Arabidopsis thaliana: one gene and its partner. The protein of the gene in region 2 interacts with the protein of the main gene of each other region in a pairwise test. Each region holds a gene or a part of one and is shown on either strand. Other genes may lie near its edges.

Evidence for each region.
Region 1: the proteins of AT2G35155 (region 2) and WRKY17 interact in a two-hybrid assay, tested with the Arabidopsis thaliana proteins (one large-scale study listed by BioGRID).

What each region holds. Positions count from the first base shown.
Region 1 is NC_003071.7:10,435,590-10,442,654, forward strand, and holds WRKY17 (WRKY DNA-binding protein 17), read right to left. Parts: upstream 3,881-7,065; 5' UTR 3,634-3,880; coding exon 2,975-3,633; intron 2,484-2,974; coding exon 2,355-2,483; intron 2,265-2,354; coding exon 2,087-2,264; 3' UTR 1,764-2,086; downstream 1-1,763.
Region 2 is NC_003071.7:14,815,756-14,823,619, reverse strand, and holds AT2G35155 (Trypsin family protein), read left to right. Parts: upstream 1-1,597; 5' UTR 1,598-1,909; exon of another isoform or gene 1,910-2,071; intron 2,072-2,236; 5' UTR 2,237-2,289; coding exon 2,290-2,793; intron 2,794-2,888; coding exon 2,889-3,032; intron 3,033-3,107; coding exon 3,108-3,348; intron 3,349-3,475; coding exon 3,476-3,976; intron 3,977-4,061; coding exon 4,062-4,411; 3' UTR 4,412-4,654; downstream 4,655-7,864. Other genes in the region: SUVH5 (SU(VAR)3-9 homolog 5), read right to left, coding at 1-58; EXL7 (EXORDIUM like 7), read left to right, coding at 5,429-6,400; AT2G35140 (DCD (Development and Cell Death) domain protein), read right to left, coding at 6,812-7,864.

The DNA of each region.
Region 1 (7,065 bases), 4.4 Mb from region 2:
TTCAACTGAAATTGTATAAATCGTATGAGAAACTAAACAAATTAAGTTATGTCAGATGTTTTACCTCTTTCTCCCATCTTCTCAAAATTACGACAGAATTCAATATCCTTCTCCCATAGATAAGACCTTTTTAAGCCACAATCAACAAATTATCAACCAAGTAACAACACTTTATAAACACTAGTAGCATTAGATATGTGAAGATCTCAATCGTCTTAATTTCTAGTAACAACCACAAGCACAAAATCGATTTGAAAAGGAATCTGATCCGAAGCTGGAGGGGCAATATCATATCCAAAACATCCAATAGAACAAAACTTCAAAATACTCATAAACAAACACTGCAAAAAGTATTCAATTATGACCAAGTATGACATATTAATCAAAACTTTGAAATACACATAAACAAATGCAAATATGTGTCATACCTTTAGTGAGAACTTATGTTCCATAGCGCAAATGTTCCTTAATATTGTTCCAAAAATTATTTGTCTTCCAACATCATAATGATTTCGTTGACCCTCAAATCCGCATTAATTCATATTGTTCAACCTCCACATCTAATATCTCCCAACAACTCATTGAAATCTCTTTTTGACTTTCTATAAACTTACATAATAGTCAAACATTGCATTAACAACCCCATTCCAAAAGTCTAACCCTCCATTAAATCAACGGGAAAAATGTCAATTAATCCCCTAACTTTTAAAAAATGGCCATTTTATACATCAATTTCGTATGCGGCCGTTTAAAACATGAACTAAAAGTTGACTAACTTTTAAAACATGATTATTCGTTGACCAGGCCAAAAAAGACATGCCATTATCAGTCATTAACGGAACTTCTAACGTCCGTTATCATCCGTTAACAACTTTATTAGTCAAGTTATAAATTGTGGTCATTTTAAACATCGACTTTATATGTGGCCATTTTAAACATGAACTAAGCGTTGATTACCATTTAAAACATGAGAAATTCGTTGACCAAGCCAAAATAAACATGTTGTCATCATTCATTAAAAGAACTTATAACATTCATTATCACTTGTTAACGACTCTATTAGTATCCCTAAAACGACTTTGTTTTGAGAGTAATCAAAAGAAAATCAGGATTGTTTTCTAAATGAAACCCTACTTCCCCAAATCTATTTTTACAACCGCTCAAACAAGACGAACAATCTTATAATGAGTCTTCAATTTGCTTCCATGATTCCTTTTAAAATTTAAAACAAATATATAAACGAAAACACCTTTATTTGCTTCCAATTACTGGCACTGCGATTATCTCTTTATCAAACTATGTTCTTGGGTTCTGCTTAAAACTTTTTGATATGGAGATTTCATATGGAAAAAATCTTTATGTTCTTTCGATTATTCTTGAACGACGTTATTTTGGACAGATTAACAGTCATTAACGGGTTTCTAGGTTCTACTGATAAAGACATGTCTATTTTGGCCTGGTCAACGAATTTTTCATGTTTTAAATGGTATTCAACGTTTAATTCATGTTTTAAATAGCCACATAAGAAGTTGATGTTTAAAATGGCCACAATTTGAAACTTGACTAATAAAGTTAACGAATGATAACGGACGTTAGAAGTTCCGTTAATGACTGATAACGGCATGTCTATTTTGGCCTGGTCAACGAAAGATCATGTTTTAAAAATTAGTCAACGTTTAGTTCATGTTTTAAACGGCCACATATGAAATTGATGTATAAAATGGCCATTTTTTGAAAGTTGGGGGATTAAATGACATTTTTCCCCTAAATCAACCATCACAAATCATAACTAGATCAAACAGAGTAATGGTAACTTTACGAACCATATCATTAAATACATATGCCTACACATTTATATACCAATTACTTTGCTAAACATCATTTTCTTACATGACACCACTAAATATATCAAACAAGAAATTATGAAAATGTAGTAAGAATTTTTTCTTTCTCGGTAGTAAGATTAAAATCCATTCAAAAGACTACTAAAAAAAAATCTAAAACTAATTTTGTTATAGAAAAAAAATTACAAAACCAACCCCTCTATTTCTCAAAATATTACAAAACTACCAAACTAATTAATTCTTCAAGCCGAACCAAACACCAAACCACTCACGCTAGGAGTTACATGCTCCTGCATCGTGGACTGGTGATGACGGTGCTCTCCTTCGTACGTCACAATCAACATCGTTGAATCATCCAAAGCTCTTTCCACGTGTTTCCTCGCTGGACATCCTCTAAATGTACTACACTTGTAATAACCCCTGAAATCAACAAAAACAAATCACAACCGTTAGATCTCCAATGTTTCACAAATAAATCAACGGTGGATAGCGATGGTGTACGATAGTTACCGTGGATGTGGTGAGCCTTTGATCGGTTTTTGTCCATACTTTCTCCATGAATATTCGTCTGGTGGTATATCGGCGATCTTTGCACTTACCGCCGGTACTCTCACGGTTCTCTTCATCCGATTTTTTCGGCTGTTAATTAAATAATAAAACATTGTAATTAGTGAAATGATTTAACGTGCGCTGACACGACTAACGTGAACATGCATCAGGTTAGCAAAAGTCAACGGGCAGACAAAGACTTTTAAAACGTAAAAACTTTCCCTATACAAAACGACAGCACCCACTAACTTGTCCTTGTCAGGCGTGCACTTTGGTTTAAGTTACTGTCGTTGACTTTCACTAAATACATTGACCGATTGGTTTAGATAGTACCAAACCGGTCTACAAAGTATTAAACCCGGATTTTTATTCTTTATTTTTTACTGAGACTAGTTAATTTAACTAGTAGACTTGTTCATGATTGACAAATTCGAGGCAAAAAAAGAATTTTGAAATCTGAATTCGTGATATATTTTCACTGAGTCCGTGAGCGATTGGTTTAGACCGTATCGAACCAAACAATTAACTACTACTAGGCTAGTCAAACAAATGATTAATTTATTGTGGAGTAATAACAATACCTTTTCTTGCAATGGCACTTGCCGTTGCCGGAGCCAGAGATCTTGCCGGAAAAGCCTTCAGAGTGGTCATGTTCAAAGCATCTCTTCCTGTAAGGAAGACCAGAAAGCGGCGGTTTCCCGGAGGAAGTCACTGGCACCGCTGGAGCCGGAGCAAGAAAGATCGAAGAGCCTTTAGAGACACTTCCATCACCGGTGATCGCAGAAGACATGAAAGAAGAGTTAGAAGATACGCTAAAGCTCTCTTTAGCAAACTCAACAACCTCCGAGCTCTTGGTTTTAGCGCCAAAAACGCTCGGTCTAGTGAAATCTAACGTCACGCTTTGTTGATTTGCCTGAACGAAGCTAACCGGTGCTGGAGCAGAGATCTGAGTGGGAGCCGGAGTTGTCACTTTCACCGGTGGAGGAACGGAGGAGGAAGGAGGGGAATGAACCGGACCACGTCTAAACCGGGCGTGACCGGAACGGTTAAGAAGAGAGATAACTTTCTTGAACTTAGAAACTGTGAAATCAGTGATCTCAGAGCAATCAACGTTACGTTCTTCGGGACGGTTAGAGAGGACACGAATCAAGTGTTCCATGCTTTTTAAGCCTTGTGATGCAGCTTCTTGTATAGCCGTTTGATCTTCCATCTTAGGTAAACGCATAATATCAACGGTCATGATGAGAAACCAGAGGAGAAACTTGAAGATCTGAGAAGATGTGCAAGTTTTTTTTGATGAATGAGAGAGCGAAACTGGAAGAAAAAAGAATGGCGTTGGCGTGATATATGGGGTTATGGGTGTGACCGAGTGACCGGTTGAGTAGGTTTAAGATGGAGTTTAGTCAAATCGGTGCTTTAGATCTAACGGCTGAGATTGAGTTGAAGATTTCTATGGAATAAAGTAATCAAAGTTTGGTCTCCTTGAGTTGTGAGATATGTAGGGTCTTCTTTTGTGCAAAGCAAGAATTTATAATCGTGTCTTTAAAATAAAGGAATCATTGTGCGTAAACTTGAATTTGGGGAAAATGGTGGTAAAGGAATTTCAAAGAAACAAAAAGTCAAATAAAAAACATTAAAGGATGGTGTCTAAAGAAAATCATAAAGCTTTTTTAAAGTCTCATATCTATTTTTTCTTTTATTAGGTATCTTATGTCTTCAAGTTCAAGTCAATAAATTTAAAATTAAAGGTAATGAATTGTTTTTATTTGTATGAACAATTGGGCTGATTTTTTTTTGTTTCTTTGGAATATTAGAAGGTCTTTAACCAAAATCCATAATTTATTCTTGAACCAAATCAAAATATGTAATATTAATTTCATCTCAAATCACATATTTTTCTTTAATAGGACTGGATTTTGATAGAATAAATTTTCAGCTAATTGTAAAATGGTATTAATTTCTTTTGTGATTTTGACTTTTGATAATATATTTTATGTTTTTTTATTTTATTCGTGTTAAGTTTTAGGCGTTATTCATGTTCTTTTTATGTTTTTGTGTTATTTTTAGCTTCAACCAACACTACAACTTGTCAATATTATATGGTGCACACATACCAAACTCGTGTTTGCAGCATATTTTTATTATTTCAATTTCTTTCTAGAATTATTACTAATTTTGCAGTGCATTGACAATAATAATTATTTGAAAATAATATTTGACTCCCATATTAACTTTGCACCTAATATATATTTTTTTTTTCTTACCTCATAGCCTTCTAGAAAACGTCTTGACTGGAAAACTAGTAAATTGAAAACAATCTTTTCTTGACTTTTAATTTTACCTAATTAATCTACACAGATTGTGGAACAATTAACAATCATTAATAGAGATTAAAGGCTATAATAACAGCGACAATCGTTGACTATATCTTATTAGTATAGTCTACAAGTCTTTAGTTGAGAACAGCGATAAAGAAAAACGACAAAGTAGGAAAACAAAAGCTGACTACAAATAAAATAAAAGTGATCACATGGACGCATTTCTTTTTAAAACACAGAACTATTGACTACCTCGGTAACCGAGTGATTCCGGTTAACTATTATCTGGGCCGTTGATAATCCAAAAGTTAGATCCAACGGTGGATCTGTGAACTGTGGAGTTGACTCTTTGATATTATTCTCTTTAACTACTTTTTTTTTGAGAATCTAAAAAACACCTTTTACCACGGCAACTGATCTTCCGACACGTGGCAATTCTGGCTGACTCATAAATTGTCACCTGTCCACAAGATTCTTTTTTTTTTGTTGCTTATAGAAATAAAGTAAACAATACCAATACAGTTAGGAATGGAGGAAATTAAATGAATAAAAAGAGCCAATTTGCAGCTCGATCTAATCCTACTTGAGGAGATAATTTGAAGTTTTCTCTACATTTTTCTAAATAAGGTTTAATTGGTAAATTTTTAATCGCATTTATAAAATGGCATATAGATTTTAGAAGATTTATTACTAATCACCAAAGCAGAAACATGAGTAAATATTAACATTACTATAAATTACTTTTTAATCTTTTGTTTACTTTCAAACTTCAGTTAAAACAACTCTTTGTTTCAATACACCACCGTTTTCCGGTGATTTCAGTTTGTCGGAATATACATGTTTCGATAATTTTGGTATATGCAGTGTTTTCTTGTAGTTGTTATATGCAGTGTTTTCTTGTAATTATACTTATTCAAAAATTCCAAAGTTTTATCACTTGTAGAAGAAAATATCAACCATACTTACTTAGCTGAATTCTTTTAAGCCAAGAAGACTACATGAAAGAAAAAGAAAAAGAAAATTACGACGTGTTTTCTTTGTCAATGATATATGACGTGTTATGTGTGCAAAAACAGACCTCAAGATGTATAATTGAAACATTTTTAAATATTTGTCAACGGAATGCATTATAAATTAGCGACATGGGAATCGTTGACCTAACCGACTAATATATATGATTGTCGTGCACGTCTACATTTTTTTTAAAAGCATTTTATTTTTTCATTTCTGATTTTGTAAACTTTTACTTACTTTTAAATTCCTTTTCTATATCAAATTTTAATGTCCTTTTCTAAATTTATAATTTATGAATCTCTAAAAATATATTATACTATATATTTCAATGTTATCTCCTCTAAAAATGTCTCCTTTATATCTTATCTAAATTATCTTTTCTATAAAATGGTCGCATAGAAATAATAATCTTCGCGTATTTGAAATAATTGTTTTGTTAGCCCATGCAAAACGAATGAGATCAAACCAGTGAAAGAAGACACATGTTGGGTAAAATACTTATTTTGTATATGTTGTATCTATGAATTCATACGGTACTAACGAACGAAGTTTTATTTTTTTTTGTTTTTTTGTTGTTTACGTATTTCAAACTTCCAACCATTGTTTTTTTTTTTTATAATAGTACGGTCAATATTGAATTTTTAATTATTAGTTAGTGGATGATAGAAATAATGCACATTTGTTATCAGAAAAATACAATATATAAGCCATGATGTATAATTATTGCTATTCACTCGAGAAGATTTGGCTTTATTTATGCCAAAGATACTGAGAAAAGATTTGGGGATTACTTAGCGAATTAGAGTTATCGATTTGAATAGTTTGTAGAAGTCAATGTAACCTCCACGAGATAAATTATTGGTAAATGTATTAATATCTATGAGATAATGATTAATTTTTTAATAAACTCAGATTATATTTTTAAAATAAAAAAATTAACTTAATATTTTTTTAAAGAATTTTCGATTACGTTTAAAAAAATTTAAAAGTTAGAGAATTAAATTTTTTACCGGTCGGAAATTTGTTTTTATTTGTCTGACCATCAATTTCATCAGAAATGATATTGAGATTTTTCTTTTTGTGAAATTCCTCCATTCTGCCTTGGAGATTCATAGGAGTTATTAACAAAAGTGTACGAAACAGTCTCACCACTATACGAACGCCAAGAATATGATCTTACGAAAGATGTTTTTACTATTGACTTCAAACCCGTAACACTAATTTTTATCTTAGGTTACAAAGTGCTATCTCAGATTTCGAATTCCACCTCTTGATTACTATAAAGCATTTGCTGTAAAACAATTTTTTTGTTGCATAGAATATTTTTATTCATAAAAAAT
Region 2 (7,864 bases):
TACCACCGCCATCACCACCGCGCAAGGAACTAAGTATTGATGACTCTGAATGTACCATGATGCCCAACGCCTACTCAATGTAATACAAGAATATGAACTAAAAACACCATCCTAGTAAGTTACAACAAAGCATATTAATTAAAAAACACCATCCTAGATTCCTAGTAGTTACAAGAACGCGTATTGATTAGAAAAGATTGCAATCAATTAAATTGAATATCTTTGGCAATGCATGTTATGATGATCTAAGTTCATCATCACAATTAACCAACAAAAGAAGACATGCAGATCTTCAAAACCCATGATACAGTTTTGAGTAACATGTGAACGAATCAGTACGCATTAATCCATGAATCATAAGAAATCCTTATCCACATTTTCCAGAAACAGACTCCAAATCTCGAAATTATCAACTTTTAAAATTGTTAATCAATCGAGAGATGGAAGCGATTGATAAGATCAATTTCGAGTCTACAAGTAACAAAAAATAAAAGAATGAAGAATAGAGAAGAAGGGTACAAAGATTTACCAGAAATGAAGGAAGGAGTAGTGATAATGGCGGAGATGACGAGTCGATTGGCCGGAGCGGGAGATATGTGAGTCGCCTACTCAAATTGGGTTAATTTGGCATTGTCCTGCAAAACAAAACTAAACAATCAATTTTAATTAAATTCTGTTTTCTCTTTTCAAGGATTCAATTTTTAATAACTCAGTCAAATAAGTCACTCACATAATTCTTATGAACAGAGTCCTAGCATGCATCTTTGGCTCTGGCTCTATAACTTCTTCAATTCCTATTTTATACAAGTTCATCAAGATTAATTTATATTGATGATGATTTAGGGTTTTAGTGGATCTCTTTTTTTTTTTTTTTTGTTGATCAAAGCTTTTTTAGTGGATCTATGAATGTTTTTTTTTGGAAATATAATCTTTGAAAATATTATAAATCTAGAGATTTGGTAGTTTTATTAAGTAATATTTTTTGGAAAAGTAATATTTGAAAATATTCTAAAAATCTTCTATTCTTTTCTTTTAGAAGTTTCTAAATAATGATCTCCAGAATAATATAGGAAAACAAAAGTTTAAGTATATGTGATTCAATGTTGCATGATCTAGGGTTTTAATGAATACTATTTTTATTAAAAAACAACTTTTGAAAATATCATAAATCTTTAGATTTTTCTCCGGATTAATTTATGTTTGGTTTTCTCGACATTATTTCTAACATTATTTATTTTCTATCTTTTTAATCGTTTTGTTTGTTTTACGTTATCACCCGTTCGGCTTCTATATCAAAAAAGTTCGATATACTATTTTCTATTATAATCGTTTAACCTTAAATGAAGAACATATTACGCTAAAAATAAATCATAAAATCTGAATAAATCATAGTGAGTTGATGCATTTTTCATTCTATTTTTTCGTACTTATATTATATTAATTTAGTAATTTCTCATTTAACTAACAAATAAAATCCTTATTTTTGTCCTTTTCCATAATTTCTGTAATCAAAATCTAAAAAGAGATAAAATAATAAGATAAAAGCAAAAAGAACTTATAAAGTAGTAGAAGAAAAACAATTTAAAAAGAGATTTGTATTGGTTGACATTATAATGTGATAAATTAATTCATGCGTCGACAAAACAAAGAAAAAGGAAGATAATTCTCGCTCTACTGTATTCACAACCACCATCAACAGTAACTCCAGATTATTATGCAGCTCCTATTGCTCTTCTCTCTCTGGTCTTCTTCTTCTTCTTCCTCCTCCAGTTTTCTCTGCAATCCTCACTTTCTCTCTCTCCCCATCTCTCTAAATGCAGCTACTTCTCTTTCATCACTGCTGATTCTCCGTCTTAGCTCCCATTTCTCCATGAAGTTCTCGCAGCTACTCCGACGAATTGTGCTGTCGGTGAGTTTTTCGCGCCTTCGAGAATCTTCGCTGGATTATCTCAAAGTTGATTTCTTTAGGCTTCTTACATGATGTTAGATTCTGGGTTCGTTTATGTTTTCTTCCTTCTTTTGAGGCGTTGCGTATCATCTTGTTTTCCGATTGTAATTTGAAAATTTCAAGGTAATTCTATAGGTTACTTGACTTGTAGGGTTCATAAACGAAGTTTGGGATGATTTTTCTCTTATAAAGAATCAAAGATGCCATTTTTAAGTTTATATCATCAGTTCAAGTGTTGTAATTTAGGAAGCTGAAGTCTCTTCTATCTCTTGTTTTGCGTTGTGACAGAGGTGAAAAAGGTACGGTGGTGTTATCTTTAATAAGTAGCATTGTAAAAGGAGATGAATTTGGGAGCTTGGGGTCAGAGATTCATCCAAGCAGCAGCTTCTTCTGAATCGGAGGATTCTGCTTTGGATTTGGAGAGAAATCATCACTGCAATCACTTGAGTCTTCCATCATCTTCAAGTCCATCTCCTCTTCAGCCATTCACACTCAACATCCAACATGCTGAGAGCAATGCCCCTTACTTCTCCTGGCCTACGCTCAGCAGGCTTAACGACACTGTTGAAGACCGAGCTAACTACTTTGGTAATCTCCAGAAAGGGGTTTTACCAGAAACTGTTGGCAGGTTGCCATCAGGACAACAAGCCACTACTTTGCTTGAGCTCATGACCATCAGAGCGTTTCATAGTAAAATCCTGCGCCGCTTCAGCCTTGGTACTGCGGTTGGGTTTCGGATCAGCCGTGGTGTTCTAACGAATGTTCCAGCGATACTTGTCTTTGTTGCTAGGAAAGTCCATAGGCAATGGCTAAATCCAATGCAGTGCCTTCCTTCTGCCCTTGAGGTGGAGTTATCTTGTGTTCTATTCCCTTCTACACATAGCCTTTCAGAAATTTTATCGGAGCATATATGATAAGCGATGTGTTCATTTCATAATAGGGTCCTGGAGGGGTATGGTGCGATGTAGATGTTGTGGAATTCCAATACTACGGTGCTCCTGCTGCAACACCAAAGGAACAAGTTTATAATGAACTTGTAGATGGTTTGAGAGGAAGTGATCCCTGCATTGGCTCTGGTTCTCAGGTACATCGTTGTTTTTTCCTTCCATCTTCTGCAACCTATAAGCGTAAAGTCTCAGTTTTGTTTCATGTTGTGTAGGTTGCAAGCCAAGAAACATATGGAACCTTGGGAGCTATAGTGAAAAGCAGAACAGGTAACCACCAGGTTGGTTTCCTTACCAATCGGCATGTCGCAGTTGATTTGGATTATCCAAGCCAGAAAATGTTTCATCCTTTACCTCCAAGCCTTGGACCGGGTGTCTACCTCGGTGCAGTTGAGAGAGCAACATCGTTTATCACAGATGATCAGTGGTATGGCATATTTGCTGGCACAAATCCAGGTACTCCAGTTATAATTTCATAGCAAATCTCTGCATCTTTCTGTTCAGGAACTGGCATATTTGGACACTCTTGTTTCATACTGAGTACTGACTATACAGGGCATCTTTCATATCTATCCCAATGCAGAAACGTTTGTGAGAGCGGATGGTGCCTTTATTCCTTTTGCAGAAGATTTCAACACGAGCAATGTAACTACGTTGATAAAGGGCATTGGTGAGATAGGAGATGTGCACGTTATAGACTTGCAATCCCCAATTGATAGCCTTATTGGGAAACAAGTTGTCAAAGTTGGAAGAAGCTCTGGATATACCACCGGAACCATAATGGCTTATGCATTGGAATACAACGACGAGAAAGGGATCTGTTTCCTCACGGATTTTCTGGTCATTGGTGAAAACCAGCAAACTTTTGACCTTGAAGGTGACAGTGGAAGCCTAATACTCTTAACGGGTCCAAATGGTCAGAAGCCACGACCAGTTGGGATCATTTGGGGAGGAACAGCCAACCGAGGAAGACTTAAACTAATAGCCGGTCAAGAACCCGAGAACTGGACAAGCGGAGTTGATCTTGGTCGCCTTTTGGATCTCTTGGAGCTTGATCTCATCACATCCAACCATGAACTTGAAGGTTTTAGAACTCTTTTCCTAGCACTTGTATGACAATGGTTCCCAAGTTCTCATGACTTGTTCTTTTGACTTTTGTACACTTGCAGCAGCAGCAGCAGCACGAGAAGAAAGAAACACTTCGGTTACAGCCCTTGATTCAACCGTTAGCCAGTCATCCCCGCCTGACCCGGTTCCATCAGGAGACAAACAAGATGAGAGCTTTGAGCCATTTATTCCGCCTGAGTTCCATATAGAAGAAGCAATCAAACCAACACTTGAAGTTGAGGAACATATCTTCATTGCTCCTATATCGGTTAACGAGTCTACTTCCGCCATTAAAGGGCAAGAGATACCCAAATTGGATAATCTCATGGCTTTAAAGAACAGTTCCGAAGAAGAGGTTAACATATCGTTGCATCTAGGTGAGCCCAAACTAAAGAAGCCAAAGTTTTTTTAGCTGAACCAGGAAATTGATCTCTTATACCAGTTTCCGGGTTTAGATTGGTTTGATGGCGATTTGATTAAACCCCCGAAATTTTATGTCGTAGTTGTGCATAGTATTATTATTCTTTGCGGACAATAGACGTATCGGGACCAAGTTCTGTAGCAAAATTGTATAAGCTTAAGTTTGATGAAATTTAAAGGTAATCACTAAAACCCAAATGGGACAATAAACCGGTGAAGATTTAGAGTTTTTAATTTTGACTCATGAATCTGGAGAAAGAGCCCTCGTTAAAAGGAGTGAATCAATCCATAGGGGAAAAAGTTTTGTCTTTTTAAAAACTAAAGAACCAAACCTTAATAGAAGCAGCTCAATGTGTGACAACTTTCCACTGGCACTAAGATAAAGTGACTAGCGATGAGTGCAATTATTGAAATAGTAGATGGTAAATATTACATACAAGAGTAAAAATATCTTTATGTCAATGCTTAATTCAGTGTTTCTGGTTAACAAGAGAAACTTCTCTAACTTTCGTAATTGGGTCTTATAAAATTTTATGCAATTATGATTTTACCCTTTTACTACTTTTCATTAGCTTTCACGAATCTATTTTGACAAGAGAAATCATTAGAGGTAAACATGCTTTTTGGTCAAGGGCCTTAACAGTTCCACCAATCAAGCTCAAAAGTTGTACTTAACCGACATCTTCTGTGAAAACATATAATTACATGTACAAATCAAAACTACCTTATGAAATAAATAGAAATATTGCAGTTCATTTCTAATTTAACCTCTTCAACTTTTAAAACTATTTACATTTCTTTATGTCATTTCTAGTCATTTTGATGCAAATTGTACCATTTATGGATTATCTTCACAAATTTTTAAGTTGGTGAAAACTTTTTGGTGGGTAGTTAAAACTTGAAATAGAAATTTACTTTACCAAAATAAACTAATGAAAAGTAATCACTCCACTCCCTATAATAAGATTTCCAACGTTCCCACTAAGCAAATCATAAACCCACCGAGACGATGTCTCTCATCATCGTCTTCTTCTTCTTCTCACTCTTGCTCACATCCAATGGACAGTTCTTCGACGAGAGCAAGAACTATGAAGGCTCCTCCGATCTCGTTGACCTTCAATACCACTTGGGTCCGGTCATATCCTCGCCGGTGACGAGTCTCTACATCATTTGGTACGGCCGATGGAACCCAACTCACCAATCTATAATCCGAGACTTTCTCTACTCTGTCTCTGCACCGGCACCGGCTCAGTACCCGTCAGTATCCAACTGGTGGAAGACAGTGAGGCTATACAGAGACCAGACAGGTTCCAACATCACCGACACTCTTGTCTTATCCGGAGAGTTCCACGACTCAACGTACTCTCATGGATCTCATCTCACTCGCTTCTCTGTTCAGTCTGTGATCAGAACTGCCTTGACTTCCAAGTTACCACTAAACGCTGTAAACGGCTTGTACTTAGTCTTGACCTCGGATGATGTAGAGATGCAAGAGTTCTGCAGAGCGATTTGCGGGTTTCATTACTTCACTTTCCCAAGCGTTGTGGGTGCAACCGTACCGTATGCTTGGGTGGGCAACAGTGAGAGACAGTGTCCAGAAATGTGTGCGTACCCATTTGCACAGCCTAAGCCATTTCCGGGGAGCGGGTTTGTAGCCAGAGAGAAGATGAAACCGCCAAATGGAGAGGTAGGAATCGATGGGATGATCAGTGTGATAGCTCATGAGCTGGCAGAAGTGTCGAGTAACCCGATGTTAAACGGATGGTATGGAGGAGAGGACGCGACAGCACCGACAGAGATAGCGGATTTATGTTTGGGAGTGTATGGGTCAGGAGGAGGAGGAGGCTATATGGGAAGTGTGTATAAGGATAGGTGGAGGAATGTGTATAATGTGAAGGGCGTTAAAGGAAGAAAGTATCTAATTCAATGGGTTTGGGATCTTAATAGGAACAGATGCTTTGGACCAAACGCTATGAATTAGAGACTATCATGTTTGTTACCTCTTTTCACCAAAGCCTTGAGCTTGAAGCTTGGGGAAACCTGTATATGGTTTATCTTTTCCTTGCCTAGTCGATTCTATGCATTTGATTGTTTAAGACTACAAAATCTAGGTATTACTAGCTGTCAAGATTCACTTGACAAAGTTTCTGAACCAAACACATGCTTTGACATTAGCATAAAACTCCACAACTACCTCAAAACGGCTGTACTGCCAAAGTATGTAGGCATTGTTCTATGACAGTACTATATATAGTACAGTCAACATGATTAAGAAGACACTTACTCCACCAAAATGACACAACAGCTAGAGAACACCCTCACCTTCTATTGTAGAAGCATCCTTGAAGAGGCCTTGTTCTGTTCGTAAGTGTTTCCAACTCCAGTTGAGTGTTTATCGTTCATCACGTCCAAGGAAGTCATGGAAGGGGACTTCAGAAGCATACTCTAAGGCCAAGAAATTTTCAGCAGGATCATTATTGTTTCCTTTATTCTTTTCCGAGTCATCTTCATTACGTCCAAAGAAGTCACGGACGTGGACTTCAGTAGCTGACTGTGAGGCCAATAAATTTTCAACAGGATTATCATCCTTTTGCGAGTCACATTCATTACGTCCAAGGAAGTCATGGACGGGGACTTCAGTAGCTGACTGTGAGGCCAAGACAGTTTCAATAGGATTATCATTCCTACCTCTATCCATTTGCGAGTCGCCTTCATTACGTCCAAGGAAGTCATGGACATGGACTTTAGTAGGTGACTGTGAGGCCAAGACTTTTACAGTCAGATCATTGTTTCCTCTATCTTTTTCTGAGGCCAAGACAATTTTAATAGGACCAGCTTTGTTTTCTCTATCCTTTTCTGAGTCATCTTCAACGAGTTTTGGTCTCAGCAGCTTCCTTTTCTTGTTCGGAGAAGCTGAATGTTCGGGGTTGTCTTTACACCCTTGAGTTGGATTACCAAGGCTCCTTTGAGCTCTGCTACGGCGCTTAAAATCAATGAATGGTAGCTTTTGAACACTATGTTCCATACTTCCTTCACAATCCAACAGATCATCTGGAGTAGTCTCAGTAAAAGTAAGCATCAAATCATTGTCAAGTACCTCTGCTGTATGAATCTTTTCCTTTTTCTTCTTCGGTATTGCAACATCTTCAGAATTACTCATATTTGCTCTTTTTTGCTCCATCCAATCTTTGTGACAGTCATTTAAAAAGGCCATGACCTCATCTACTGATTCAGTGTCAGGAGACGTATCCCTTTCAGCATCAAGTTGTTTTAAACGCCCACCCAACCTATTAAAGACACTTGGTCTGGTTCTGTTTCTTTCAAGTTTAGCAGGACTAACACGATGAGTCACCCTATTGTTAGAGTCAAAAGCATCACCGCCAAATTCTTTATGCGGTTGATAAGCTTGAACTTCGTTATTGGCTCTGTTCTCTGGATACAAATC